4 linked regions of the Elephas maximus indicus genome follow. The protein of the gene in region 1 purifies or fractionates together with the protein of each later gene. This does not show direct contact. Links are inferred from orthologs where the notes say so. Each region holds a gene or a part of one and is shown in the gene's direction. Other genes may lie near its edges. The genes, in order: EIF4E, HHEX, ANGEL1 and EIF3B.

What was found.
Region 2: the proteins of EIF4E (region 1) and HHEX purify together in Homo sapiens (affinity purification with western blotting; 3 studies listed by BioGRID and IntAct, with this or other methods). This does not show direct contact. The link is inferred for Elephas maximus indicus from reciprocal best matches to the Homo sapiens genes EIF4E and HHEX.
Region 3: the proteins of EIF4E (region 1) and ANGEL1 purify together in Homo sapiens (affinity purification with mass spectrometry; 3 studies listed by BioGRID and IntAct, counting the BioPlex papers as one, with this or other methods). This does not show direct contact. The link is inferred for Elephas maximus indicus from reciprocal best matches to the Homo sapiens genes EIF4E and ANGEL1.
Region 4: the proteins of EIF4E (region 1) and EIF3B purify together in Homo sapiens (affinity purification with western blotting; 5 studies listed by BioGRID and IntAct, with this or other methods). This does not show direct contact. The link is inferred for Elephas maximus indicus from reciprocal best matches to the Homo sapiens genes EIF4E and EIF3B.

Annotation. Positions count from the first base shown.
Region 1 is NC_064823.1:54,608,889-54,615,924, forward strand, and holds the start of EIF4E (eukaryotic translation initiation factor 4E), read left to right. Parts: upstream 1-4,029; 5' UTR 4,030-4,074; coding exon 4,075-4,092; intron 4,093-7,036. UniProt on the Homo sapiens protein: Acts in the cytoplasm to initiate and regulate protein synthesis and is required in the nucleus for export of a subset of mRNAs from the nucleus to the cytoplasm which promotes processes such as RNA capping, processing and splicing.
Region 2 is NC_064834.1:43,890,901-43,898,178, forward strand, and holds the start of HHEX (hematopoietically-expressed homeobox protein HHEX), read left to right. Parts: upstream 1-4,275; 5' UTR 4,276-4,347; coding exon 4,348-4,714; intron 4,715-6,888; coding exon 6,889-7,067; intron 7,068-7,278. UniProt on the Homo sapiens protein: Recognizes the DNA sequence 5'-ATTAA-3'. Transcriptional repressor. Activator of WNT-mediated transcription in conjunction with CTNNB1.
Region 3 is NC_064828.1:89,607,539-89,614,816, reverse strand, and holds the start of ANGEL1 (protein angel homolog 1), read left to right. Parts: upstream 1-4,278; 5' UTR 4,279-4,332; coding exon 4,333-4,396; intron 4,397-7,278.
Region 4 is NC_064830.1:96,692,413-96,699,545, forward strand, and holds the start of EIF3B (eukaryotic translation initiation factor 3 subunit B), read left to right. Parts: upstream 1-4,120; 5' UTR 4,121-4,241; coding exon 4,242-4,734; intron 4,735-7,133.

The DNA of each region.
Region 1 (7,036 bases):
CTTTATATGGGTACTGAACTATTTATATTTCTATGACTTAGTAAGCCAACCAGATTTTACAGTCCAACAGGGAAGTGCCTGTGCTTCCTGTGTCCTTTAAATATCCTTCAGTGACCACACGTTTGCCATTAGTAACTTAATATTTCTTGAACGGTTTCTTGTCAGTTTTGAAGACGAACTTAGAATTAAAAGTCCTTTGAGGAGAAAGAGGAGTTCTGCAAGAACCTATCAGAGGGAAGCAACTATGGTATGGAGGAAAGAAGGAATCTTGGAATCAAGAGAATTGTGTTTGAATGCAGACTTGGATGTCTCCTCTAACTTTACTAAATCTGTTTCTTTATGTATAAAGTGGGGATGATAGTGATTAATTCACATAATTGCCATAAAGATCAGATGAGGTAATTAATACGGAAAATACTTGGTATGTTATCATCAATAAAAGTTAGTTGACTTTCAACATTTGAAAGCCTGGAATACCCTCAAAGATCATGGGTTGGTATTAGTTCTCAGAATAAAAGAATCCATAATTATATTCCACTGTACTAAAAAACAGAGATAAGAAATCTGTGTCAACATAATAGTTGTTGCTGTTAGATGCCGTTCAGTCAGTTCTATACAATAGTACATCATACTAATGAAATAGGTAATATTCAGTATTTACTATGTGTTAGGAACCATTCTAAGCATGTTATATGAATTAACTCATTTATTTCTTACACTAGCCATCTAAGATTGGTACAATTATTGTGCCCCTCTAACTCATTAAGAAAAAGCAGACAAACAACAATAACAAAAAAGAGGTACAAAGAGAGTAAGTAACATGCCTATAGTCATACAGTAAATGTGGAGTTGGGATTATGAACCAAGATAGGCTGACACCAGAGCTCATGCTCTTAACCACTAAACTATACAATTGTAATTTAAAACACTATTTATCCTATTAGGGTCCATTATGTTGGGTCTTTCTGAGTGATTTTCCTATAAAAATAATAATTAAAAAAATAGAACATGAAATAAAGTAGCAAGTTTGACCAATTTAGAAAAAAAGCTGAACAAGGTTTAAAGAAAGGAATGTCAGATTAGTGTTAACTAAGGGTTGGTTTAGACTATGTCTAAAGTTACTAACATTACAGTAATAACGTTCACTTATTTATTACATAATTTCATATTTTCTATCTCAAAATCCACTCATTTTAAGAAAAATGACGGCTCTGTACTGTTCATAGACTAAGAAAGGTACTTAATCTAAACAGAATGTCTAAAATTACAAAGTCTGTCTTTAAAAGGAAAAAAGCCCTAGACAGCGCAGCAATAATATTTCTGAGGGACATACTGTAGTAATTTGAAACACAGTTGAAAAGCCTAGCAAAACAGTGACTTCGGTTATCTGCCAAGCCTAAATAAAGCTCCAATGACAAAACGGTAAATACGTAATAAAAACAACTGATGTGTTCCATCAAATTATTTAAAGTCATTTCCTATGAGTTAAATCTATTAAGACAAGTTATATACCAGTTTGAGAAACATATTATGCAGAAAAAAGATCATGATTATTTACAGATGCTAATTGATAACCGATCATCCCAGGCTTATGAATAATAGTTACCATGTTACTATGTTGGGAAATAAGTAGTTACGTATAAGCTAGATAATTTGATCAAATAGAATAGTATTCTAATATTACATTCTATTTCATAAATCTAAGCTTCGATTAACCTTTCTTTTCTCTAACTCTAATCATAAATAGGGTAGTAAGGTAACAAATGTAATTTGTTACACATTAATAGACAAAGTATAAAAGTTCTTCTCTGTATATTTCAGATCAGCAAAAACAACACAAAACTACCACATACACATACTCTTACATAAAAACCTAATCACAATGATAGGGTAGAATCTAACAGCGTTATTAAGACACATGAACGTGCCGTAAAACCCATGCAATAAAGCATATACAAAATGAAGAGAAATTACGTTATAAAATATAGGAGCACAAGTAAGTGTTCTAAAAGATCTAGGATGTTTACTAAGAGTGGGGAGTTTTGGGCCAAAGTTTGGGAGCCATTGTTCTAAAAAAAAGAAAAAAAAAGTTTTAAAACATCACTGGCTTTCATTTCCATCTGGGTACTTCCTTGTCAGCCTCCTTGATTCTTTTGTTATCTAGCACATCTATGCCTTCTCTTCGAAGAAGATAACCAGATACTACTTTTAACCAACAGAAAACACCATTAAGATCAACTGAAAATACTTAAGACAGTTTAAATAACAGAAGGTAGTCTTTAAGTAGGAATTCATTTAGACTTTTATTTTTTAGATTCTATCTACTTTAGGACCTACTTGAGCGAACCTGACTGTACAAAAGTTTTCATGAATCATTTCTGACATCCAGGTAAACCAAAACATACTAACAGGCAATGACTTTGAGTTCTTAAACATCCTCAATTATGTTAGTCAACTCAAGCATCCATTATGTACTCAACAATAGGTGTGACACAGCTCTGGACATCAGCAACACTACAAGCAGGCAGACACTGGCAGCTTGCTTACACTGATTTTCCTGGTGTTAACATTCTTAAGAAGCCTGGGAAATAGTCACGAGATAGTGTCTTTCTCATTAAAGCCTTACGGTAACTAGATTTATTTCTTTGTAGTAAGAGCCAGGCTGTGCAGAATAACACCATCTTGAGAATTAACAGCTGGGGAAGTTACCTTAGAAGGAAACGAAATGTAGGATGCTAGTGCGGGGACAAATTTCTAATCGCCAGTGATTGTTGTGAACATCATAATATTTTCCTGAACATCAAAGCCTCCATCAAAGGCACTACAATTACAAGGAAAAAAACATTCTTCAAACTTTAAAACTGCATCGATGTACATCACAATGTAATAAACAAAAAAAAAAAGAAAAGAAAAACGTTAAAAAAAAAAAAAAAAAAACCAGGGGAAGCAGCTGATCCTTAGAAAGTCACGCGGCTGCTTATTCTGAGGCGTTTATAGTCTGATGCCTTTTCAAAGCTGGTTATAGTCATTACCATAGCATACTCTTGTGAGGTAAGTGTATTACCACCTTTGGTTCATAAATGAAAAAGCCGAGGCACTCAATGCTTAAGTCACTAGCCTAAGGAGAAACCAGTCAATGTCAAGAGTTAAGAGTTGACCCGCCCAACGACTCCTGACGGTCAGTCCAGGGCTTAGTCAGCGGGGCCCAGAGTGGTTCCCTGGCTGGCACCTGGACTAGGCTATTTTCATTCACGTTAAAGCAGAATAGTGGAACCGAAAGGGCAGAGCTTCCAAATAATTTTTTACTTCCTGGAAGGATTTAGCCCTGAAGTCTTAATCTCAGGATTTGGGACAGGAAAAGCTGTAGGGTCCACTCCACCTCCCCCCCAATCAGTAGCAAGTGGGTGTTGCGGGCGGTTCCGTCCATCCCTTTTCGCAATGATGGCAAAGAATGCTCACCAGCGTTAGCGGAGCGGGGGACAGGAGAGGATTGATTGCTTAAACAACGACTTTTCATCGCCGCCTCTTTTTGAAACTAAGAGAGAAAATGGTGGGAGGTCAAAAGAAAACGAAATAAACACACAGGCCAACTTGTCCTAGGACCTCACCTAAGCAAATGAAGCCTTATTGTGCGTATTGAGTCTGCAGTTCCAACCTTCAGGGGAAGATGGGAGGAAAGGGCGACAAAGGGTACTGTAGGAATGCCTAGCAGTGAGTGCGACAGCAACTATCCAGGCGGAAGAACAGAAGACTGAAAACGACGCACTAGCACGCTAGTGTCCGCGGCGCAAAGAACAGCGCACCCACCCATAGACCACGTGACCAGCCTTTTTTTTTTTTTTCCCTTAAATGCTTCTTTGCCCTTAAAAAAAAAAGGGCGGGGGGGGGGAGGAGGGAAGACTCCACTTCCCAGAAGCCTCTCGTTACACACGCAGCCGCAGTCTTGCGCAGGCGCCGCCGGGGCCAAACGGACACGTTCGTCACGTGGACAGTAGCCGGCCAATCCGGTTTGAACCTCATTTTTTTCCTCTCACCCCCCCTTCAGGAGCGGTTGTGCGATCAGATCGATCTAAGATGGCGACTGTGGAACCGGTGAGTATTGCCTTTGGCCCCCACCCCCACCGGTCCCCGCGCTCCGTCTCCCCTCCGACTGGGGGACCCCGCGGGACGACGTTCCCGGCGCGCTCGCTACCCCTTACCGCCCCCTCCCCCTCTCCTTGGGCTTGACCTCCCCGCGGGCAACTTGGGGGCGCCCCGGAGACTGGCCGCGGCAGCGTGTAGCTCACACGTTCTGGTGGGGGCCGGAGCGCTGGGGGAGAGAACTGGGGGAGGGGCGGCGCGGCGCCTCCTGTGGAGCCGCGAGGTGTCTGCAAGGGTGGAGGGTGATCCAGGTCCTGGGATAGGTGTGTAGGGATTGTGTCCTCGGGTTAGGAGGGCCGGCTTCGAGCAGGCGTCGGAATCGCGGGGAGGGTGGGCGGCGAGCCGGCCTGGAATGAGGTGGAGGAGGGAGCCCCGGGGCAGCCTTTTCCTCTCTCTCTCGAGCCTTGGGTCGGGGGCGCGCGCGAGTCTTCCTTCACTAGACCGGTGGGCTTGGGAAGCCGGTGGGCGTGCGTTGCCGGTGAGTGGGTTGGGCGGGAGTGGTGCCGCGGCACGCGCGGGGTAGGTTCGATTTCGCCGGGGGTAGTGCAGAGGGGCGAGCGCGTGTTCTCTGGCGTGCCCGAGAGTTGCCAGGCTTGGTGGCTGGGGAGGAGAGACGGATTTGGGGTGGGGAGGAAAGCCTGGTGCCGCGCGGTGGAGCCTTCCTAATAGGATGAGGGTTTGCGGGGTGAGAAGGGGGACCACATTGTCTTCGCCCCTCCATGCTTGAGACTGGGCTGTCATGGAGGAGGGAAAGGGGAGGAGCGAGGCCTAGTGATGGTTGCTGCTGATCCAGTTGCCGGCCGGACCTGCTGCATTTCACACGCGCCTCACTTCCATTCATTCATCCTTTCCGCGCAGAGCGCACGCCTCAAGAGAATGCGGATGAGTCTAGATCCGTCTGCTGTCCCGAGTCTTTATCGTCTGGAATATTTCTAAGGAACAACTTACTGGGAATAGGAACTTAGCTTTTCAAGTTAATTTTCCATTTGGTACTTTTAAGCGTTCACAAAGGCTCTCTGCTTAATTTAGGCACCATTTTAAACTTAGTCGAAGCAAGCTGATTCTATGGCAAAGAGTTGGTAGTTAGCCACCAAAGGAGAGGGTATCTTTATCGATTTGGGTTTGCCACCTCTAGCTCACTTGAACTTCTTAGGCCTCCGTTGCTGTCTTAGGAATGTGACACCGAAGTGAAAATGTTTTGGGGGAATAATGTGAGTATATTAATAAACAGCTAGAAAACTTTTGACACTTGAACCAGTTCAAGACCTTGTTTGTCAAATTTTTGTTTATCTTTCATGGTAGTTAGTGATCTTGGTAATGATTTGCCAATTTGTTTTGACTTTTTAAGAATTTTTATAACTTTAAAAAATTCTAGTTGGGGAAAGGCCTATAGAATACAAAAAGGCTACTTTTCATTACATTGATGTAAACTTTTCTTGTTGCCAAAAGTTAAGGCATTTCTTCTGCTTGGTTACTTGTTATTTCACTGGCACCAGTTTTCATTTCTGTTTCTGGAAATTTGGTTGACTGTGAAACTGTCCCTTAAGTTGCTAATAACGATTAATTGACTTTAGCACACTAATGTTACATAAATAAAGAAGTAGGATAAATACGTAAAATTTTAACTGAATACTCCTTTTAAGAGGCTCCCATGTCCACTTTTGACACCATCCGTTCTCATATCTGTATTATCAGTGTCCTACACAGTAAAACCCTGGTGGCATAGTGGTTAAGTGCTACAGCTGCTAACCAAAAGATCTGTAGCTTGAATCCACTAGGCGCACCCAGAAAACTCTATGGGGCAGTTCTATTCTGTTCTATAGCATCACTGTGAGTCAGAACTGACTCGATGGCAGCGGGTTTGGTTTTTTTGTTGTTGTTTCAACAATAAAACAATATATTCTCTGAAGTTTTAGTAGCATTTCGGTCCTTTAGACCTTGCAGCGCTAAGCAGTTTTGTTTCCACAGTGCAAAACCACAAAGTAATGGACTGTTTTGAGTCAAATGTTCATAAAAAAAAGAAAACTCTCTTTTTCTTTTTTTTTTGCCATTAATGTATTTAGTTGTATCAAGTGTACTTTAGGATACAAGGTTATACAATATGTGATTCTTCAATGTAAACTCTTAAGGAGCTTAATTCCAAGTCGTGTGGTTAGTGACACAATATAGTATTTATTCCAGTGCTGACCCTGAGGAAATTTGAATATCCATTGCCTTGGAGTCAGTTCTGACTCATAGTGACCCTGTGGGACAGAAAAGAACTGCCCCATAGGGTTTCCAAGGCTGTAAATCTTTACAGAAGCAGACTGTCACATCTTCACCTGGGGAAGTGGCTGGTGGGTTTGATCTGCAGAACTTTCCATTAGCATCCAAGCACTTAATCACTGGGCCACCAGGGCTGCTCGAAATTTGGATAGTACATTTAAATTTCCGGAGTAAGCCAAAAAAACCCAAACCCGCTGCTGTCTAGTCGATTCCGACTCATAGCGACCCTATAGGACAGAGTAGAACTGCTCCATAGAGTTTACAAGGAGCGCCTGGTGGATTTGAATTGCCATCGTCTTGGTTAGCAGCCATAGCACTTAACCACTACACCACCAGGGTTTCTTTGGGGAGTAAAGGAACCTAAAAACCTAAAGTGTGTGTGTGGAGGTAGAAGCCAGATTGAAACTACAGCAGTTAGAAAATGTATGTTGAATAGTATTGAAGGCTTCATTTTTAATGAGAAATGCAAATTTTTAGTAATCTTAAAGCACCCTTGTTCACAGCCTAGTCAATTAGAATTCTTTTGACGATTTTAAATAGTGGGTTTTTTGTTTTTTTTAATCAACTGATTAGTATTGTCTTGCAATTGAAGTAACCATGCTGAAACCTGCAAAATCTTCATTTGCTGTTT
Region 2 (7,278 bases), on another chromosome or scaffold:
ATGTGGGAAGAGAACATCAGTGTCATGGAGACACCTGCCCATATGTTCCAGGACTCTGATTCCATTCATGACACAGACAAGGCATTTCTATTTGATCATGTGAGTAATTCAGCAAGTAAAGCATAAAAACACTAATTAGAGTTTGTCACATTTTAAATAAAATAATGAAATGATTGGACATACGATTTAATGAATGATTTAGTCACTCCAACAGTTGAAGGTAGTAAAAGTTTTAGTGTAAGTATAAATAGAACCAACTTGTTACATAATCCATCAATGGTTTCTAGCTAAATCTAACTTGAAATTTTATCCCTACCTAGATTTAATTATTGAGAATAAGTTGTAAAAAGTTACCTAAGTTCCTACTAGATAAATTATCATTGAGAGCCACCTTCTCTTCTCACAAAGTTTGGACACTTGCATAATAGCTATGACTAAAATAAATGGTGCCAATTTTTTTTAAGAGTCTTGTTTAATTCAGAATATAATTAAAATCTCATGTAGCTTTATTGGTTTTAGTATCCAGCAGAGAGAAAATATTGAAACTCCAAGAGATTTTGAATTAAATAGCTACAACAGTTTAGTTTTATTAGTTCTGACTGTGTGGAAAAAAAAAATCATAAGGACAACATTGAAAAAATCTAGTTCTTTTAGCGCCCCAAATGACTTTTAAACAATAAAACAAACTATAAAACCTACACTAGTGATATTAAAAATTATGCAGTTCAATAAATGTGATATTCACAAATGTGGTTGTAATTTTTTTTTTAAGTGTAGCAAAGTGAACACAGATCTGACGACTGGATTTAGAAGAGGCAGTGTTACATAGCTTAAAAGAATTAAGTGCTTCAATTTGCTGGTTAGGATTATGTAGCTGAGTTGGAACGCTATACCCATGTTTTTTTTAACACCTCTATGCACTTCACAGTGTCTGTGGCTAAATCAAAGAAAGAGACGATGCTTCCTTTTCCTAGTTAGGGGTCATTCCCCTAGCACTTTAATATTTATTTTTGTAGATTTAGATCCTTTTGGCTGGTGGCTGAGTCACTCACAAAATAAACTAGTACTATAATACCATACCATATTTGAAGATGGAGAATAAAGGCTGGCTAGCGATTTACTGTAAAGAACATTAAATGAATTGGAGTAGTCATCTGAATTACCAGCTAAATGGAAGAGGGTGCCCTGGTGGTGTAGTAGTTAAGAGCTGTTGCCTAAAAGTCAGCGGTTTGAATCCACCAGCTTGGAAACCCTTTGGGGCAGTTCTATTCCGTCCTATAGGGTCACTGTGAGTCGGAATCGACTGGACAGCAACAAGTTTTTTAAATGGAAGAACGCAGGAAAAAGGAGAAAATCGAAGATATGGGGGAAATTTTGTGAGAAAATAATCACTGCTATATTTAGTTCACATAAGTCCCAACCTTTTAAGACCCGAACATCTTTTGAAGGCATGTTTAAGCTTCAGGTAATAATAACTGTCCTTTCTTTGTCCCCAAAGCCTGTCTCTGTCCTTGGAGCAAAGAAGAACACATTTCCCTTTCAAAGTCTTTCAGCATCTGCCTGAATTCTCCATCCATTGATGAGAATTATGGCTGGTGGAGTGGCCACATTAGACCTGACCACTGAGGGACCAAATTTTTCTCAAACAGCCCTCCACAAACAGGTCCCAGGATCAAGGCACTATCTAAAATTCCATGTAAACTTAAATCATTCAAATACTTTTACCTTTTTTTTTAAACATAAAATCATATTTACTTTTTCTAGGTTTTATATTCAAGAAGTTCAAACCTACATAGAAGTTCGGATGATACATGGCACAACTGTATATAGAACTATATACACACCTGTATACCCTTGACCTAAATTCACCGAGTAATATTTTGCTGTATTTGCTTTACCTCTGTCTTTATATATACATATGTGTTTGTTGTTGTTGTGTGCCATTGAGCCAATTCTGACTCATAGTGTCCCTGTATGACAGTAGAACTGCCCTATAGGGTTTCCTAGGCTGTAATCTTTATGGGAACAGATCACCAGGTCTTTCCTCCTCCAGAGCTGCTGGTGGGTTTGAACTGCCAACCTTTCCGTTAGCAGCTGAAGATTTAACCATTGTGCCTCCAGGGCTCCTTACATATGTGTTTAGATATAAGTGTACATATGTGTGCATATATATATATATGTATGTATGTATATGTGTGTATATATGGGCACATACATTGAACTATTTGAAAATAAATTGCATTTATCAAAATCCTAAATCAGCTAGAATCTCCCAAGAATAAAGAATTTTCCAATATAACCTACAATACTAATATTATAACTAAGACAATTAACAATAATGTCATCTAACATACAATTCATATTGATTTTCCCCATTATGCCCCCAAATTTCTTTTATAGCTTTTTAGAAAAATCCATTCTTCTAAACAAGATGTTTTGGGCTTACCTTGTACTTTTTCTGTCCCAGAACTAGAATCAGCAGCCTCTCCAAAGACTTACTTATACTGGCAATAGGTCACACATCCATATGGTTCAATTCTCCAAGTATGTAAAAGGTATACAATGCATTCTCCTCTCACCCTACGCTCTCTTCCTATACAACTAAATGGTATTCATTTTTTGTGCCTTTTTCCAGACAGTTTACATACCTAGAGCAAAGGTACATGCAGCCCAAATAACAGCATACTACAGATGCAGAGCTTGTCTGTGTCAGATTCTGAGAGATGCCTGTGACCCTACCCCAAAAAGATGAGAGATCATTAGTGTAAGGCCCTAATGTTTCAGATGAGAAAACGAAAGCTCAGAGCGGTGACTTGCCCAAAGTTGCATTAATATTTGCATGTTATTTCCTGGACTTGGAATGTTCTCTCTCACTCTAGGCTTGTTTTCACTTACTCATCTTTCAAATATCACTTTCTTGGGGAAGCCTTTCCCTCCTTCCCTTAATCACCCTCACTAGGTGGTGTGCCTTTGTTTTAAGTTTTCAAAGCATTATAAACTTCTTCCTAGCACATACATAAGTCACTGTGTTAAAATGTTTCCCACCACCATAAGGACAGGGACTATGTGTAGTTCACTTTTGGCACAAAGTAGGTGCTCTACAAAACTGTGCAGAATGAAACTAGAACTCAGGTCCTTCAGCTCCCAGTCCACTCCTCTTGCTAATGCAGTTCCGTTGCAATACGAGAAACAGTTTCAAGATGTAAATAAAAACCTCCTCAACTGAAAAACCAGGGAAGTCTTTGCATTTCCACGATTAATGAGGGGCGGAGGGAGACCTCGGCAGAAATAGCTCACCGCGAGGTGTGACAACCGCAGGAGGGCGTCAATCAAGAAAATGCCCCCTTGCCCCGGAGGCGAGTGGCGCCGCGCAGAGCCGAGGCCACACGGGCCAGCGTCACTGCTTCAATAGAAAACACGTGCAAAACGGAGGAGTCGGACTGTGCGCAGCTGCAACCTCCAGGGCCCGGGGAGAGGGGACAAGGAGCGGTCCCCATCGGGTCAGAGAAGATTGCACAGACTCCGTCCGGCGCATAAGATCCGAGCCTTCTCCTGATACCTGACCGAAGCGGCTTCTGCCAGCGTCCCTGGGGTAGTGGCTGAGTGCAGGGTATCCAAATGAAACAGGCTGGAGCTGCTAAGAGTCTGGAGCACCTGAAGTCTAGTCGTCCTCACCCCGCTGGGGCAGAGCTAAGGGCAGTTGATCTCTCTCGTTGGAGCAGCCCCAGTAACCCTGGGCACTCCCTCTTGCTAGCTTAGGAAGAGCTCCGGGCAAAAGCCGTGCCACCGTTACTCCACGGAGCGCGCAGACCAGGGAGGTTCCTCTCAGGCCTGTGAAAACGCGGCCCTCCAGCGGCCTCTACGCTGTCAGTTCCGCTGTCCCTCGCCTGGGTTGGCCTGGGAACCGCTGCTGACACCCGGGGTCCGGGCTTGGACCAGTGCGACCGAGTTTCGGCAGAGTCGCACTCCAAGCAGCTGCTTTCCTCTCTCCGTCCCGGACGGACGCACGTCCCGGACTTTCCTCGAGGGCGGCCCCGGCCGGGGTGCCAGGAGCCACGAGCAGTGGCGCCGGCTGCCGGGCACCTGGGCGCAGGGTCCTCAGAGTCCGGCAACAGGCGCGTCCTCGGGGCGGGGAGCTCGGCCGCCGTGGGCGGGCCAGGGTAGGGGCGGGAGGCGGCTCCGGGGCCCCGCGCCATTGGCCGTAGGACCCGGCGGCAGGAAGGGGCCAGCGAGCGCGGCCCCACCCCGTGGCCGGCAGAGCCTATCGCCGGGAGCGCGGAGCGCGGATAAATGTAGCACCGCGGCGGCGGCTGGCAGCTCTCCGAGGGGCCGAGGCGCAGGGGAGCCATGCAGTATCCGCACCCCGGGTCCGGGGCGGCTGCGCCCGCCGTGGGGGTACCGCTGTACGCGCCCACGCCGCTGCTACAGCCCGCGCATCCGACGCCGTTCTACATCGAGGACATCTTGGGCCGCGGGCCTGCCGCGCCCACCCCCACCCCCACGCTGCCGTCCCCCAACTCTTCCTTCACCAGCCTCGTGTCCTCCTACCGGACCCCGGTGTACGAGCCCACGCCGATCCACCCCGCCTTCTCGCACCACTCCGCAGCGGCGCTGGCCGCCGCCTACGGACCCGGCGGCTTCGGGGGCCCTCTGTACCCCTTCCCGCGGACGGTGAACGACTACACGCACGCCCTGCTCCGCCACGACCCCCTGGGTAAGGCGGCCGGGGTCACGGCGGGGCCGAGCCGAGGCGGCGGCGAGGAAGGCGCCACCCGGCAGGTGGCAGCGCCCGGGAGGCGGTGGGGGTGGGGGTGGGGGCGGGGGTGGGGGTGGGGGTGGGGGTGGGGGAAGCAATAGAAAGTTGTAGCAAAAGCGATTGAAAAGCGGCCCTCCGGCGCGCGCGGGGCCGGGAAGATCGGGCCCCGGCGGCGCGCGGCCAGGGCTGACCGCACCATGACTCAGATTGGTTTTCCTGCACCTTGCAGGCGTCGGGGTGCGAGAGCCTGGGCGAGACCTCAGGCGCCGCTGGCGGTCGAGGGCAGCCCTGGTCCGCGCGTGTCGCCCAGGGTGAGGCCCCCTTAGCGGGGAGGGACGGAGAGGTGGGCACCAAGGCGCCGCGGGCCGGCCCCGATGGGGCCGGGACAGCTGCCGGGCTCGGATGGTTACGGGGCTGGACCTGGTTCAACAAGCTTGTGCAGTGAAAGAGCCTGACCCTTTCCGTTCATACAGGAAATCTTGAGTTCTCGATAGGAGTAAATCTGGTTTCAGAAGCTGTTAAGTGTTTTCCTGGCTGCATGAAGCAGACCCTTCCCCCGGAGTAGTGCACGCTGCTGATTATTTTATCGACATCCTCAATACAGACAAATTCAGGAAACACTCGACTTCTGATAGCCGGGATCCGTTTTTCTGATATTGTTCATTTCCTCTGTGTGGGATGTGACTTTATGGCAGCTAAAATAACCAGTTGCTTCCTTTTTTTTTTTACCCACCCCCACCCCCCCGAGGCTGTTTTGCACCAGTCTGAAGCCTGACGCAAGCAAAATCTCGAAAAAACAATGCCAGCTTTCAAAGCGTTTAGGCGCAGGCTAGCAGAAGCACAGCTCGACGGACAGACCTTTGGAGTAGGAAGCTGTAGACCCCGGGCGCAAGATAAGATGGGCTGCGCGGGCATATAGAATTTGTTGGCTTGTCCCATCGGTACACTGCCAAAGAAATGAGAGCGCCGCGATTCGCGCTCCGGATTGGCCCTTGGCGCCTCCAGGGTCTGAAGCGTCGAGGTGGATAAGGAGGCCGTGGGGTCTGATATCAATCCCGTGTTATTGGCAGCTTCAGTAAAGACCCTGAAAACACTGACCGTTAATTCAATAATGTCATTGTTATTATGACACAACCTCTAGCCCAGCCTAGTTTTCTCTCTCTCCCACTGTTAGGGGGAGTTTGGGGGGATTATATTTTAGTTTTTTTTTTTTTTAAGCTTATTATATTGTATATTTTTATTTCAGCGGCGAGGCTTTGGTGCAGCAGCACTACAGTGGCACTGTTTGCTGGGGCCGCAGCGGGACCCTCACTGGGGCTGGGCTTGGGGGCAAACGTTTGCACAGAGCGCGCTCTGGGTTTCCTTGGGTTACTGGTGGGACTGCGCAGGAGGAAGCAAAGGGTTTTTCGAGATAGACCAACAGGAAACACATTGACGGAAATGTTGCCATAGCCCACGGGGTGGCTTTAACTGGCCGCCCCCGCGGACCGGGTGTGAAATCAGAGGAGGCCGCGGCGCCCTCGGGCCGGGATTGGAGGCTCCACGCACGGCCTAACTCGGGCGCCCGGGCCCCAGCGCTTCCCGCGCAGCGAGCCTCGTGGTTCCCTTGGTCGCGAACGCCTTGCGTAGTGTTCCAGCCCCGCTTTTCCTCAACACGCGGACACCCGAGTATTCGGAAAGTGCAGTTTACCGAGGGAGAGGACCTAGGGGTGCAAAAAGTTGTGTATAAAATCGAGAACGACTGGTAAAAGAGGATCGTGGTGTTTTAAGTTCAACTTGTAGTGGGCGTTCTTTTAGAGATGAAAGGATCTGTGTGTTTGTATGTAGCTGTGATGTGATGGTTGTGTGCGTTAAAGTGTACAGGGTGGTCTGTGTGTATATGCAGTGTAGGTGTATGACTGGGCGTGTATGTGCATATGTGTATATACAGTCTAGGTGTGTGGCTTTGGGTGTTTGCCTGTGGGTATATGTGTGTATTAGTGCGAACTTGCTGGGCCCATGTGCCGGTGCGTGTGCTTGTGGGTGTATGTGAACTGTCTGGTTGGGTGTCCTCCTGCGCTTCCCCCTTTCGTCACCCCCTCGGAACTAGGCGCTCCAGGGCTGTCGCTAAGTGCTGCTACTTCTGCCCGCAGGCAAACCCTTGCTCTGGAGTCCTTTCTTGCAGAGGCCGCTGCACAAAAGGAAAGGCGGCCAGGTGAGGTTCTCCAACGATCAGACCATCGAGCTGGAAAAGAAGTTCGAGACCCAGAAATACCTCTCGCCGCCCGAGAGGAAGCGTCTGGCCAAGATGCTGCAGCTGAGCGAGAGGCAGGTGAGTGCGCCCGGAGCCTGGGACCGCCTCCGGCGGGGGGCAAGGCTCTTGAGGCCGGGTTCGGGGGGTCGGGGGGCCGGGGGTCCGGGGGGCGGGGGGGACGTGCGGAAGAGAGACGGGAGAAGACGAGGAGCCGCTGTGCGCCTCCCCGCCCGTCGCGCTGTGCAACGTCTGGAGCGCTGGTCAGCTCTACAGCCCCTAATTGGCTTCT
Region 3 (7,278 bases), on another chromosome or scaffold:
CCAGGCCTTTCTTCTGAGGTGCCTCTGGGTGGACTCAAACCTCCAACCTTTGTTTAGCAGCCAAGCTGTTAACCTTACAAATGGTGATGATCAGTACTTATTATTTATTGTCTTCATTGTTATCATGGATGAATTGAGGTGTTTAGCTGGCCTCTTGGAGTATTTCTGACATAATGAAGCCGCAGATGGTGCCGACTGTATTGCAGTTTTCTTTTGACTAGGGAGGCTGCATGTCTCCAGGCCAAGTCTTCTTGGAATCTGTAGTTACCAGCTTGCTCAGTAATGCCACCTTACCTTTTGGAGGGCCGGAGTCTTATTTGAGCCAGGGATGTGAAAAAAGACCCTACATTAGCAATAGCCAGAGCCATTTTTTTACCATTTCAAGAAGTATAATAGTAAACACTGAGAGATTATCCTGGGTCAGGCACAGTGAGGGAACCGAAACTCAAGAGGTTAGGTAGCCTGAGAGGTTACCACAGTTAAGAAGTGGTAGAGCTTGGATTCGAACTTGGTAGTCTAACTCCAAAGCTTGTGATTCTCACATTGCCTTATACTTTCCAACATAGCTGATTATGGGTTAGAAAACAAAAAGGGACCAGCCTAGCTTAACTGGCCTCAGGAAAGACCTTTGAGAGAAAATGGTATCAGTTGGCCTGGTACATTTTTGCCCATGCATATGAACTGAGCAGCCCAGTTGAGACTGAGTCCTTTAGCGGAGGTTCTTAAACTTTTTATCAAAATAACTTGGTAAGTATTTAAGGAATACAAAATCTTGGGGCCCCACTTCAGACCTGTTAAATCAGAACCCTGGGAATGGGGTCTCTTGTTGTGGGGTGCCGTCGAGTGTTAGTTCTGACTCATAGTGACTCTACGTAGAACAGAATGAAACGTTGCCCAGTCCTTCGCCATCCTCATAATCATTGCTCTGCTTGAACCCATTGCTGCAGTCACTGTATCCATCTTGTCAAGGGTCTTCCTCTTTTTCACTGACCCTCTACTTAACCAAGAATGATGTCCTTCTCCAGGGACTAGTCCCTTCTGATAGCATGTCCAAAGTATGTGAGACAAAGTCTCACCACCCTTGCTTCTAAGGAGCATTCTGGCTGCACTTCTTCCGAGACAAATTTGTTGTTTTTCTGGCAGTCCAATGTATATTCAATATTCTTCACCAACACCATAATTCAAATACATCAGTTATTCTTCAGTCTTCTTTATTTACTGCCTAGCTTTTGCATGCGTATGAGGCGTTTAAAAATACCATGGCTTGGGTCAGGCACACCTTAGTCCTCAAAGTGACATTGTTGCTTTTTAGCACTTTAAAAAGGGCATTTACAGCAGATTTGCCCAATGCAATACGTCGTTTGATTTTTTGACTGCTGCTTCCGTGAGTGTTGATTGTAGATCTAAGTAAAATGAAGTCCTTCACAACTTCAATATTTTCTCCATTTATCATGATGTTGCTTAGTGGTTCAGTTGTGAGGATTTTTGTTTTATGTTGAGGTGTAATCTATACTGAAGGCCGTAATCTTTGATCTTCATCAGTAAATGCTTCAAGTCCTCTTCACTTTCAGCAAGCAAGGGTGTGTCACCACAGGTTGTTAATTAGTGTTCTGTAATCCTGATGCCCTGCTTTTCTTCATCTAGTCCAGTTTCTTGATTATTTGCTCAGCATACAGATTGAATAAGTATGGTGAAAGGATACAACCCTGACACACACCTTTCTTGATTTTAAACCACGCAGTAGCCCCTTGTTCTGTTTGAATGACTGCCTCTTGGTCTATGGTCTATGTACAGGTTCTGTATGAGCACAATCAAGTGTTCTGGAATTCTCATTCTTCGCAATGTTATCCATAATTTGTCATGATCCACACAGTCGAATGCCTTTGCAGAGTCAATAAAACACAGGTAAACATCTTTCTGGTACTTTCTGGTTTCGGCCAAGATCCATCTGACTTCAGCAAATGATATCCCTTGTTCCACGTCCTCTTTTGAATCCAGCTTGAATTTCTATCACTTATATGTCAATGTACTGCTGTAACCACTTTTGAATGATCTTCAGCAAAATTTTAGTTGTTTGTGATATTAATGATATTCTACGATAATTTCCAAATTCCAAATTCCATTGGATCACCTTTCTTTGGAATGGGCACAAATATGGATCTTTTCCAGTCAGTTGGCCAGGTAGCTGTCTTCCAAATTTCTTGGCATAGACAAGTGAGCACCTCCAGCGCTGCATCCAGTTGTTGAAACATCTCAGTTGGTATTCTGTCAATTCCTGGAGCCTTGTTTTTCACCAATACCTTCAGTGCCCCCCGCCAAAAAAGGTTTTTTTTTTTGGTTTGTCCTTCAGTGCAGCTTGGACTTCTTCCTTCAGTACCATCGGCTCTTGATCATATGCTACCTTCTGAAATGGTTGAACATCAACCAATTTTTAAAACATTTCCTAAGTGGATAAGGAACCATGACTTCACAAAATAATAAATTTAGTCTCTACGTAAATATCTTGTTTAGGATCAGTGTTGGAACATAGACTTCGGGGAAACTATTGGGGCAAAATGGAAGGCGGGAACAAGGAGAGTTTGTTTACTTAAGCCATTGAGTGCGTCAGTCAAATCCCACTCATAGTAACCCTATAGGGCAGAGTAGAACTTACTCTTGGATTAGGAAATCTTTACAGGAGCAGATTGGCAGGTCTTTTCTCCCACAGAACTGGCCGGTAGGTTCAAACCACCAACCTTTCAGTTAGTAGCGTATCTCTTAACCATTGTGGCATCAGGGCTCCCTGGGGACTCCTTAAGTAGAGGTAATGTTTGTGGGCTAGTTTCTAAGGGGTTTCCCAACGTTCAGATTGTCTCTGGGGCCTCTACTTCTCATCTCAGGAAAAGGGATGGGTGTTGTTGCCTGGAAGTAGATTCTGCCTATAGAGCTAAGGATAAAAAGTGGGAAGGCCACAATACTGACTCTTCTTTTTCCTTTTAGCTTTTTGGTGTTATGATGTACCCAGCTGGTCCTGGATCTGGTGATTCCCCAGAGGGCTTCCCTGAACAACCAAGGCTCCAGCCACAAATTGGAAATTGCACAGCTCAGACACTGGGTACTGAAATAAGGGAGTATTATACAGTGCTTTCTTCTTCACAGCATGGTTGGGGCAGAAGATTGACGGTGGGGGTTTGGGGAAGAGAGACTCAAAGAGACCTTTGATTAGCACAGAGTTGATGGAGGAACTGGGCTTCATTTAGTGATATATGCTTTGTTCAGTCAGTCAGCAACGGTTTATTTGGGCCCTACTATATGCCCAGCTGGAAACCCTGGTGGCGTAGTGGTTAAGTGCTACGGCTGCTAACCAAGAGGTCAGCTGCCCGAATCCGCCAGGCGCTCCTTGGAAACTCTGTGGGGCAGTTCTATTCTCTCCTATAGGGTCGCTATGAGTTGGAATCGACTCGACGGCAGTGGGTTTTATGTGCTCGGCAACCCTATGGGGCAGTTCTACTTTGTCCCATAGTCGCGATGACTCCGAATCGACTCGACGGCAACGGGTTTGGGTTTTTTTTTTTTATGTGCCCAACAATGTTTTAGGCACTAGAGAGCTACCTCAGTGAAAAAAAACGAAACAGACTTGATCCCTACCCTTGTAAATTTTTTTTCCTTGTCTCTTTTACCAGTGAGACCCCCCGTTATTGTTTTTATTTTTTCCCCAGATTAGGAAACAAGGGCCAATTTGGAACAGAATGGTGAAGGAGACAAAATCTTAGACAGAGTTAAGGTGTGGATTCAGTTTTCCACCTAGAATTTTGAGTTGGAGAAGACAATAGAGTCAGGGAAAGGGGAAAATGGGGAAGATTTCGCGCTCTTTCCCCTCTCTGGTTTGGGAAGGGATAGATAACAGTCAGGGCTGGATAGGCCTTAGTAAAAGTCCAGCCTCATTTTCCATAGCCCCTCATTTTCCATATGAGAAAAATGAAGGGCGGGAAGGTTATATGGTTGACTCAAGATGGACACCTAGTTAGTGGCAGAAGTGGGAATAAAACTGTGGCTTCTGAATAATAATATGAAGCCTTCAGCGGGACACTTAAATTTTAAACTCAGACGGAAGGCTACATTCCCAAGGCAGGCCCTGTCGGTTGCCAAGGGAATCAGCTTCCCCGCCCCTGTGGGCGCGTCCGTGGCTCTGGGCTCCCAATAAAGTTGTTGTTGAAGCGCGGTCGGCGGGAGCCGCGGCGGCGCCACGTGGGCCGAGCAAGGGGCGGAGACGGGGCGGGGCCTGGGCGGGGCCGAGCTGAGGGAGACCCGGCGGGCTGCAGTGAGGAGGGGAGGTGGCGCCCGCGGCCGGCCATGATCGCGTCTTGTCTGTGTTACCTGCTGCTGCCGGCCGCGCGCCTCTTCCGCGCTCTCTCAGGTACCGGCCCCGCGTCCGACAGGCGGGCGTCCGGCCCGGGACCGTCTCGGTTGGGCCCCGCGGGGCCGCGTGCCAGGCCTCACGACCACCGTCCCTTGGACAGTGCCAAAATGTGTGAGGCGGCCGTCGCCTCTGGCCCCGCGGTGCCGGGCTTGCCCCCATGAGGCCCGGGCCTGGCTGACGACTCTGGTGGCCCGGTGGAGTCGAGCCACGGTTAACGTGAGAGGGTCTGGGAAGGGGCAGGGGCCGCCCCTGCCTGGCCCTCGGGGTGCAGAGAGGTGCTGGGCCGAGCCCCTGCCTGGCCCTCGGGGTGCAGAGAGGTTCAGGGCCGAGCCCCTGCCCTGGGGGTTGCAGAGGGCTGGTTCCGTGGGGCTGAGGCGAGTGCCCGAATTCTCTGTGGGTAGAGGCGGATCGGCCGGGGCGAACCTGCCTTCCCGGGTTGGCCTCGCACTCTCACAGCCGCCTCTCAGCCCGCCGCGCTCAGCGGAGTTTTGGCTTGAGAAACGGATCCTCTGCTCAGGATTCAGACACATCGGAACCTCAGGGCTGAAGCAGCCTTGGTAGTTGAGGGGAAAAGGCTATTCCTTGACATTTTCATGATCTGCCCGCGCTCGCCATTCCTGGGCTTTGAGATTTCAGAGGCTCTTGTGAGACCACCCCTTCCTCTCTGAGATGCCACAGAACTCCTGGATTTTCTCGGGCAGTTTAAGGGGCGGGACCAAGAAGTACTTTTTTAGAAAAAAAAGGCATTGCAACTGTGCATTCAGTACTTTTCCCTTCTGGAGTTTGACCCAAGTTTGTATGTGTGTGTATAATTTATGTATTTCGCAGAAAATATGTTTTATATTTATTTACTTTTTTACTGTCTCAGCACTACAAGCTCCCGGAGGGCAGGGCCGTGTCTGTTTTGTTTATTGTATTTTTAGTATTACCACACTGCCTGATATACAGTAGGCACTCAGTGAATTCCAAGATGTCTTGTGTATCCAAACTTCAGAGGGGTGAGAAACTCTACGGACTTGACTGTTTTCAGATATCTAAAGCATATTCCTTTAATCATGTTGCCATCATTTCTGGAGCTCTTCCTGTGTCCATAGCCCTGGTGGCACAGTGGTTGAGAGTTTAGGCTGCTAACCAAAAGGTCTGCAGTTCAGATGCACCTAACCAAAAGGTCAGCCGCTCCTTGGAAACCCTTGGGGCAGTTCTACTGTGTCCTATAGGGTTGCTGTGAGTCAGAATGGACTCAACTGGCAGTGGGTTCTTCCTGTGTCCATGATGGCAGCTTTAGTGAAATAAACTAGTTCACACTAGTTCAGAAATTTCCAGAGAGTTCTAGGGCAGGGCTTCAGACCAGTTTGTTCTGGTTGGAGACCCTGATGAAAATTTGCATTCCCACCCGATATAGTGGGTCAGAACCTGGAGTTTAACAAGATCCCCAGGTGATTTTTATGTATTGTAAATTTTAGAACCAGTACTCTACTAGTGGCTCTCAGAATTGGTCCCTAACCAGCAACATTAGCTTCCCTTGGGAACTTGTTAGAAAGGCAAATTTCTAGTTCTAAGGCTCTCAGAAGAGGGGCCACCTCTTCTCTTGTACCCCATTGGAGTAGTTCTGCTTGTATTAACTTTGTGTATTTGACTTCTACATAGGTTTTTTTTTTTTTTTTGGTGAAAAGGTTTTGCTGCTGAAAAACAAACCAGAGACAACAAATAAATCAAAAACTCCTAAATTTGAGAGCCTGTAACCTCGTGCTTATAAACCAAAGAACCTCTGCCATCTGGCATACATAGAGAATGTTTCAAGAGGCAGAGAATTATCAAATCCCAGGAACTAATGCCCAGCAACCTAGCCCGTGGGCTTAAAGCAGGATTTCTCCATCTTCGTACTATTGACATTTTAGGCCAAATAATTTGTTGTGAGAGCTGTCCTGTACATTGTAGGATGTGTAACAGCGTCCCTAGCCTCTTACCACCAGATGCCAGTAGCACCGCCACAGTTGTGACAACCACAATACAATGGCTCCAGATATGGCCAGATGTCCCTGGGGAGCAAAATTGCCCCGGTTAAAAACCATTGGAGGTGAATCAGAGGGACATAGACCAGAAACAATATAGTGACATCTGAACCATTTTTAAATTTTTCTTGCTTTCTAAAAAAAAAAAGCTGATAAAATGAACCTCTTTACTGATTAAGAGTCAGCATTACGCGTATCACTTGTACTGTGCTGCAAATAAGGGATTTATTATGTGTGGGCTGGTTGCTTGCACCAAATTACTGTGCTTAGATTTTTGGGACTCTTAATTTTAGAGTTTTTCCTGCCTGCTTTCTTGCGGGTGGGCTGTCATTTGTGGCTGCCATAACAGAGATGACAGCTGTCTCTTCTTGCTGTCAGTTATCAGCACTTCAGATTTACAGCCTCTGATGTGTTGTGGAACGGGAAAGTTGATAATGAAGTTTGTGAAGATTTTTTGAGTATAATAAATAGCGTTAAGAGGCGTAAGAGCCTTTGCTAAGATGTAAATTGTGTATTTTGTGACCCGTTTTTGTTTATTTTAGGACTTTTTCTTTTAGAATGCTTTCAAGATTAGGGGATGCTATAGAGTTAGAAAAGCTCTTGGAGATTATCTAGTCCAAACTTGTCCAGTTCCCATTTTATGGTCAAGATTGAGTTCATCTGACTAAGGGCACTGTCCAAGGACACATAATTTTGTTAACTTCCATGGTAGATCATAGCCCACAGTTCTGATTCATGGTCAAGTGCTGGTTCCAGTGTAACTTGGTTTTTAGAGCCAGTTGATGTTAATAGGAGTCTTAACCTCCAGATAAAAGGGATGTGGGTATATCAGTCCACCTCTGTCCTGGATTATGTCGGACACCTGTT
Region 4 (7,133 bases), on another chromosome or scaffold:
ATACTTTTTAAGGCACAAATTGCCTCAGTGGGGGGTCTTCTGACACTGACTGGAATCCTCCCCCCACCAACATTTTATTATAAAAATTTTCAACCACACAGAAAAGTTTAATTTTATAGTCAACATACAAACACCCCACCTAGATCCTATAATTAACTTTTTCTGTGAAAAACACCACCAATTTCACTCACTTTCATCAATTACTGCTTTCAGTTTCGTGTGCATCCTTCCAGGTCTTTTTCTACATATTTTACATTTTTATCTATATTACCCATGTAATATCTATAACATAACTTTGTGCATTTTTCTTAATCGGTATTCTGCTGTATATATCAATATGCAACCTAATCTTTATGAAACTTAACAGTATGTTTTAGGAACTACACAAGTTATCATATATAAATCCATTTTATTAGTTGCCCATTGCTGTACAACAAATTACCCCAAAATTTAGGGTTTAAAATAAAAAACATTTATAATCTTGTGGTTTCTGCAAGTGAGAAATTTGCAAGTGGCCTAGGTGGGTATTTCTGGCCCAAGATTTCTCATGAGGTTGCAGTCATCTAATGGCTTAACCAGGACTGCAGGATCTGTTTCCAAGGTAGCTCTTTCACACACCTGGCAATTTGGTGTTGACTGTTGGTTGGCTGCCTCAGTTCCTCCACATGTGGGCTTCTCCACAGACTGTTTGAGTGCCCTCAGAACATGCTGGCCAGCTTCCTTCATTGCCAGTGATCCGAGAGACAGCCAGCCAGCCAGCTAGAAGCTTGTCGTTTTTATGACCTAGACTTGGAAGTCACTTAGCATCACTTTTGCCACATTCTGTTCATTAGAAGCTGGTCACTGTCTATCCACATTAAAAGCAGAATTAGGCTTTACCTTTTGAAGGGAGGAGTGTCAAAAATTTCATGAATTTATCACAGATGTGGAGTCCCTGAATGGTGCAAACGGTTAACAAGCTCAGCTGCTAACCAGAAGGTTGGCGGTTGGAGTCCAGCCACCTGAAGGCCCCTCTGAATAAAGGCGTGGTGATCTACTTTGAAAGATCAGTCTGATACACATAGCGTCACCCTGAGTTGGAGTCGCCTTGACAATTATTTTTTTTAAATCACAGGCATATTTTTGCACTTCTGTGATGCTTTAATTAATGAACGTTGCTCCCATTACAGAGCTGTACTTCTAACACAGCACACTTTACCCACCACTGCATAACCAACACAGAGCAGGCGCTTACATAATTTGAATAGCAATTGCAGTGCTTTTCACTTTTGAGGGTGGTGCAACTGCTGATGGTCTTGATGCTCTCTCTAGTGCACTAAACCTGCCATCGTCGAGTCGATTCTAGTTCATAGCAACCCTATAGGACAGAGTAGAACTGTCTCATAGGGCTCCCAAGGCTATTTTTTTTTTTTTTTTGCACTTTAAGTGAAAGTTTACAAATCAAGTCAGTTTCTCACACAAAAACCCATGTACACCTTGCTACATACTCCCAATTGCTCTCCCCCTAATGAGACAACCCACTTGCTCCCTCTACTCCCTATTTTCGTGTCCGTTTAGCCAGCTTCTAACCCCCTCTACCCTCTCACCTCCCCTCCAGGGAGGAGATGCCAAAATAGTCTCAAGTGTCCACCTGATCCAAGAAGCTCACTCCTTACCAGCATCCCTCTCCAACCCTCCAGTCCAATCCCTGTCTGAAGAGTTGGCTTTGGGAATGGTTCCTATCTTGGGCCAACAGAAGGTCTGGGGGCCATGACCATTGGGGTCCTTCTAGTCTCAGTCAGACCATTAAGTCTGGTCTTTTTATGAGAATTTGGGGTCTGCATCCCACTGCTCTCCTGCTCCCTTGGGTTCTCTGTTGTGCTCCCTGTCAGGGGAGTCATCGGTTGTAGCCAGGCACCATTTAGCTCTTCTGGTCTCTGGCTGATGTAGCCAATGGTTTACGTGGCCCTTTCTGTCTCTTGGGCTAGTAATCACCTTGTGCCCTTGGTGTTCTTCATTCTGCTTTGATCCAGGTGGGTTGAGACCAATTGATGCACGCATCTTAGGTGGCCGCTTGCTAGTGTTTAAGACCCCAGACGCAAGGCTATAATCTTGATGAAAGTGGACTGGCACATCTTTCTTCCTCGGACGGCTGGTGGGTTCAAACCGCCAACCTTTCAGTTAGCAGCCAAGCGCTTAAACACTGCACCGCCAGGGCTCCTTTCCAGAATTCTCCCATTGGCAATGAGTCGACTCTAACTCATACTGACCCTACAGGACAGAGAAGAACTGCCTCCATGGGGTTTCCAAGGAGTGGCTGGTGGATTGAAACTGCCGACCTTTTGGTTAGCAGCTGTGGCGCTAAACTACTATGCCACCAGGGCTCCTCTAGAACACTACCCAAATCCTACCTGTTGCCATTGAGTCGATTCTGATTCATAGTGACTCTGTAGGACAGAGAAGAACTGCTCATTGGGTTTCCAAGGAGCAGTTGGTGGGTTCAAACTCCTGAACTTTTGGTTAGCAGCCTAGCTCTTAACCACCAGACCACCAGGACTCCCCTCTAGAATACTAAGAGATAATAAATACTTTTTATTGCATCATGACAGTGTTCATAACTTTCCCTGCAGAAAAGAAAATGACAAATTCACTCACTGGAAGAGTCATGAGTTGCTACTCTGCTACAAGGAGTCCCTGGGTGGTGCAAACTTATCAACACGCTCTGCTGCTAAAGGAAAGGTTTGAGGTTCAAGTCCACCCAGAGGTGCCTCGGAAGAAAGGCCTGACGATCTACTTCCAAAATATCAATCACTGCAAACCTTATGGAGCCCAGTTCTACTATGACCCACATGGGGTTGCCAGGAGTCAGAATCAACTTAATGAAAACTGACTTTTTTTCTAGTTCTGCAATAGAAGCATGCCATAGAAGTCTTTCCTATCTGAGAAACACCTAGGTGCCAAACTATAAACTACAACCTCCTTGTTCACTGGTTTATCACCTTTTAGCACTTTCTAGAAGAAAACGGTTGGCAATGATTTAAGAAAACTGCAAACGAAACTAGAAATTTAGAAGATTCTTTTGGTCTTTAGTGAAACTCATTCACCTTCTGCAGGAGTACAGCTCGAAAAGGTTCCAAGAGCCACTCACCCCTCACTTTGCAGGTGAGGAAACTGAGGCACAGAGGCTCAGAGATTCTCCCAAGGTTACAGTTGACAGGAGGAGGAATCGAACCCAGTATTACGCAACTGCACAACTCTTGTATGATGAAAACATCAGTGGTTGGCCTCGAGTCTGTGGATAAATACCTGAGCCACCCTTGTCGCAAACTCCGCCCCTCCTGTCTCCACGTCGTTGCTCAGACCTTCTGCGTCTTCCTCCCGCCTCACGTGTCTCTTGACTTCTCTGGCCACACCCCCCTGAACCACGTGACCCGCTCCCGGGTCGGAGAGCGATAGTTTCTTGCGGACCGAACCATCGTGAAAGCCAGAATGGGTAAAGAGCAGTGTTACGGCCGCTACAAGTGCAGCTGGGCGTAAGCGAGTAAAGCAACTCTCAAATTTTTGTATTGGGCCGGGAAATATTCTTTCTGGTAGTTTTGGCTGCTTCTTGTTAACACCATATTTTATTTCATTTTGGAATCGTCGGCTCTTTTGCCCAGTCAGTAGGCGAAACTAAAAACCAGTATGTAAAGGGGAGTTTCGTAATATAAGCTAAATGGTTTGTCCGGTTAAAAGCTAGGCTATCACACCAAATCGTTGGTTGAACTTATGGCTTTCTCTAGTATTAATTTTTGAGTCAAACTATATTTACACATAATTCCGCATAGAAAGATCATTTCTGAGACCTCCCTTCGGCGCCACAAGTAGTTCCGTCCTTCACCGAAGCGCTTGATGGGAGCAGGAAGGGCTGGCTGCCATATTGGGTGAAACCAATCCGCTACCACAAACGGGGGTGGTTATAGCTCCTAATGAGTTTACCTAATGAGGAAGAAAACTTAGTGGATTGGAATTGAATAGTTACTTGATGTAAAAATGTTATTCAGACAGTTGATAGGCACACTTCCGAGCTTGGGTGGTTCCCAGCACGTCAGGCGGGGTCAAGGCATGGAAGCCCCCCCCGCAGTGGGCGCGGTGGTGCGGACCTGCCCGGGTCGATCGCACATGGTTAGAGAGTAGGCGCCGGCGAACGCGCGGTGCGGCCTGGGAGAGTCGGAAGCGCGGCGGCTGCGGACCCTGAGGTGAGGGAGGCTGCGCCTGGGCCCATGCAGGACGCGGAGAACGTGGCGGCGCCCGGAGCGGCCGAGGAGCAGACCGAGCCGGGGGCGCAGCAGCCCGCCGCCGAGCCGCCGCCGGAGGAGGAGCCGCTGCGGCCCGCGGGGCCAGGGGCTCCGGGGGCGGCGGACTCGGTGACCGAGGCCAAGAAGGAGGCGGTGGTGGCGGCCGAGCCCGAGCTTAAAGCGAAGGCAGAGCCGGCGGCCGCGGAGAAGGAGACGGAGTCAGCGGGCGCGGTCCCCAGCTATCCGGCGGGTTCGTCCCAGTCCCCCTTGCCGCCGTCCGGGGAGGAGCCCCAGTCCCCGGTTCGGGAGGAGTCCCGAGCCGAGGCCGCCGAGAGTCGGCCACAGGAGTCGTCGAAAGAGGCGGGTGAGGACAAGGGGGACTCGGCGGAGGCAGAGCCACGCGCGTTGGAGAACGGTGACGCGGACGAACCCTCCTTCAGCGACCCCGAGGACTTCGTGGACGACGTGAGCGAGGAAGGTGCGTCCCCGGCCCGCTGTCCTTCCCTGACCTGTGGCCGACGTAGAGAAAGGAGGCTTTTTAACCGAGAAGGGTCAGGGAGCTAGTGTTGGAGATTGACTTTAGATGACAAGTTTCGGTGACATGTGATGTGCCTGTGCCCAAGTTCCAGGCTCTGTAGAAATGCGAGGGAGGTGGCACTGTCTCCCAACTGTTGCCACCAGTGCGTAGTGGAATTTTTCTAGGAGAGCCTACTATCGCTTTCTTTGGGGTTAAGAATATGTCAGAATGATACAGGGGTCCCTAAAGAAGGGAACCTATTATTTGCATTACAGCCAAAAATCCAGGATCGCGGTGGTGGGCGGCTGTCAGACTGTACCTACACAGGAGGCTATGTCAGTGCACACTGATGTGTAGCCATTGGGGGCAGAGCCAAGTAGGACTCTCCTGGATTGGTCTCCTGGACTGACTTCCCATGGTCCAAGGGCAAGACCTCAGGGTTGCTGGTCCAGGTGTCCTAGGGCTGACACAGGTTTTGACTTGTAGAGGTGGCTGCGGATATTTCCCCGCAGGACTGGGAAGTGCAGGTTGTGGCAGAGCTGGATTGGTGTGTCCCTGTTCCACTGGTTTTCTGACTGGAGATTTCCTGCGCAGGATAGTGCAAGGCAGACCTTGCCAAATTCCCGTTGTGGTTACTTTTTTTCCTAAATGTGTCAGGCAAGCCACCGTTCTTGTGTTGGGAGGTTATTTCTCAAATTTGAACCAAAGCAGCTGCTCTGCAGGAAAAAGGCTTGGTGATCTGCTACCTCAAAGATTACAGGTGAAGGAGGGAGGGAGAGGGGTATTCACCAATTAGATAGGAGACAGGAACTATTTTAGGTGTAGGGAAAGACAGCACACAATACGGGAGAGGTCAGCACACCTGGACTAAACCAAAAGCAAAGAAGTTTCCTGAATAAACTGAATGCTTCGAAGGCCAGCATAGCGGGGCGGGGGTTTGGGGACCATGGTTTCAGGGGACATCTAGGTCAATTGGCATCATAAAGTCTACTAAGAAAACATTCTGCACCCCACTTTGGAGAGTGGCATCTGGGGTCTTAAACGCTAGCAGGCGGCCATCTAAGATGCATCAATTGGTCTCAACCCACCTGGAGCAAAGGAGAATGAAGGACACCAAAGACACAAGGTAATTATGACCCCCAGAGACAGAAAGGGCCACATAAACCAGAGACTACATGAGCCTGAGACTAGAAGAACTAGATGGTGCCCACTACAGCGAATGACTTGCCCTGACGGGGAACACAACAGAGAACCCCTGAAGGAGCAGCAGAGCAGTGGGATGCAGAACCCAAATTCTTGTAAAAAGACCAGACTTAATGGTTTGACTGAGACTAGAAGGACCCCGGAGGTCATGCTCACCAGACCTTCTGTTGGCCCAAGACAGGAACCATTCCCAAAGCTAACTCTTCAGTTACGGATCGGACTGGACTATGGGATAGAAAATGATACTGGTGAGGAGTGAGCTTCTTGGATCAGGTAGACACATGAGACTGTGTGGGCAGCTCCTGTCAGGAGGGGAGATGAGAAGGCAGAGGGGAACAGAAGCTGGCTGAATGGACATGGAGATAGTCAAGAGAAGGAGTGTGTTGTCTCATTGGGAGAACGACTAGGAGTATGTATCGAGGTATATATCAATTTTTGTATGAGAGACTGACTTGATTTGTAAAATTTCGCTGAAAGCACAATAAAAATTAAAAAAAAAAATTACAGCCTAGAAAACCCTATGGGGCAATTCTGCTGTCACATGGAGTCGCTGTGAGTTGAAATGGACTCAGCGGCTCCCAACAACAAGCAGCTATAGCTTGCTTTCCGGTGGTTTCTACCTTGATCAGGTTTACAGGCTTTATTTCTGCTGCCTGAGAGTTGTTGATAGCTGATTACATTAGTTTTTGGTTTGCTCTTTTTTTTTTTTTGCCGTTTTAACTCTCCAAGCTCACCAATGGATCCCTCTACGTGTTGACTAGTTTATGGTAAAGTAGTGGCTGTAGAAGTAGCCACTGATACATACACCAAGAAAACTAGATGTTAGCACATTAACATACATAGATTTTTTTGTGTGGTATTGTGCTGGCAATCACATAGATTGAGTCAGAATTACATAGATTCCTAACAAGTGAAAGGAAGAGGAAAATTTAGGACGCTGGCATAGAGTTGTCAACTCTTCATTTAAGTGTTTTCTTAAAGGGCTACTGTCACCGTTTATTTTGTTATGCTTTTTTTCACAAGGTAAAAGACATTCTACCTCAAAAAGCAGGAAAGACATGACAAACTAGTGAAGGCATGGGAGCTGCTTATCAAGTCCAAACCCTTTACCCAAAGGTTACGTGTCCTGAGGTGGAGTAGATTGCTGAGAATTCACA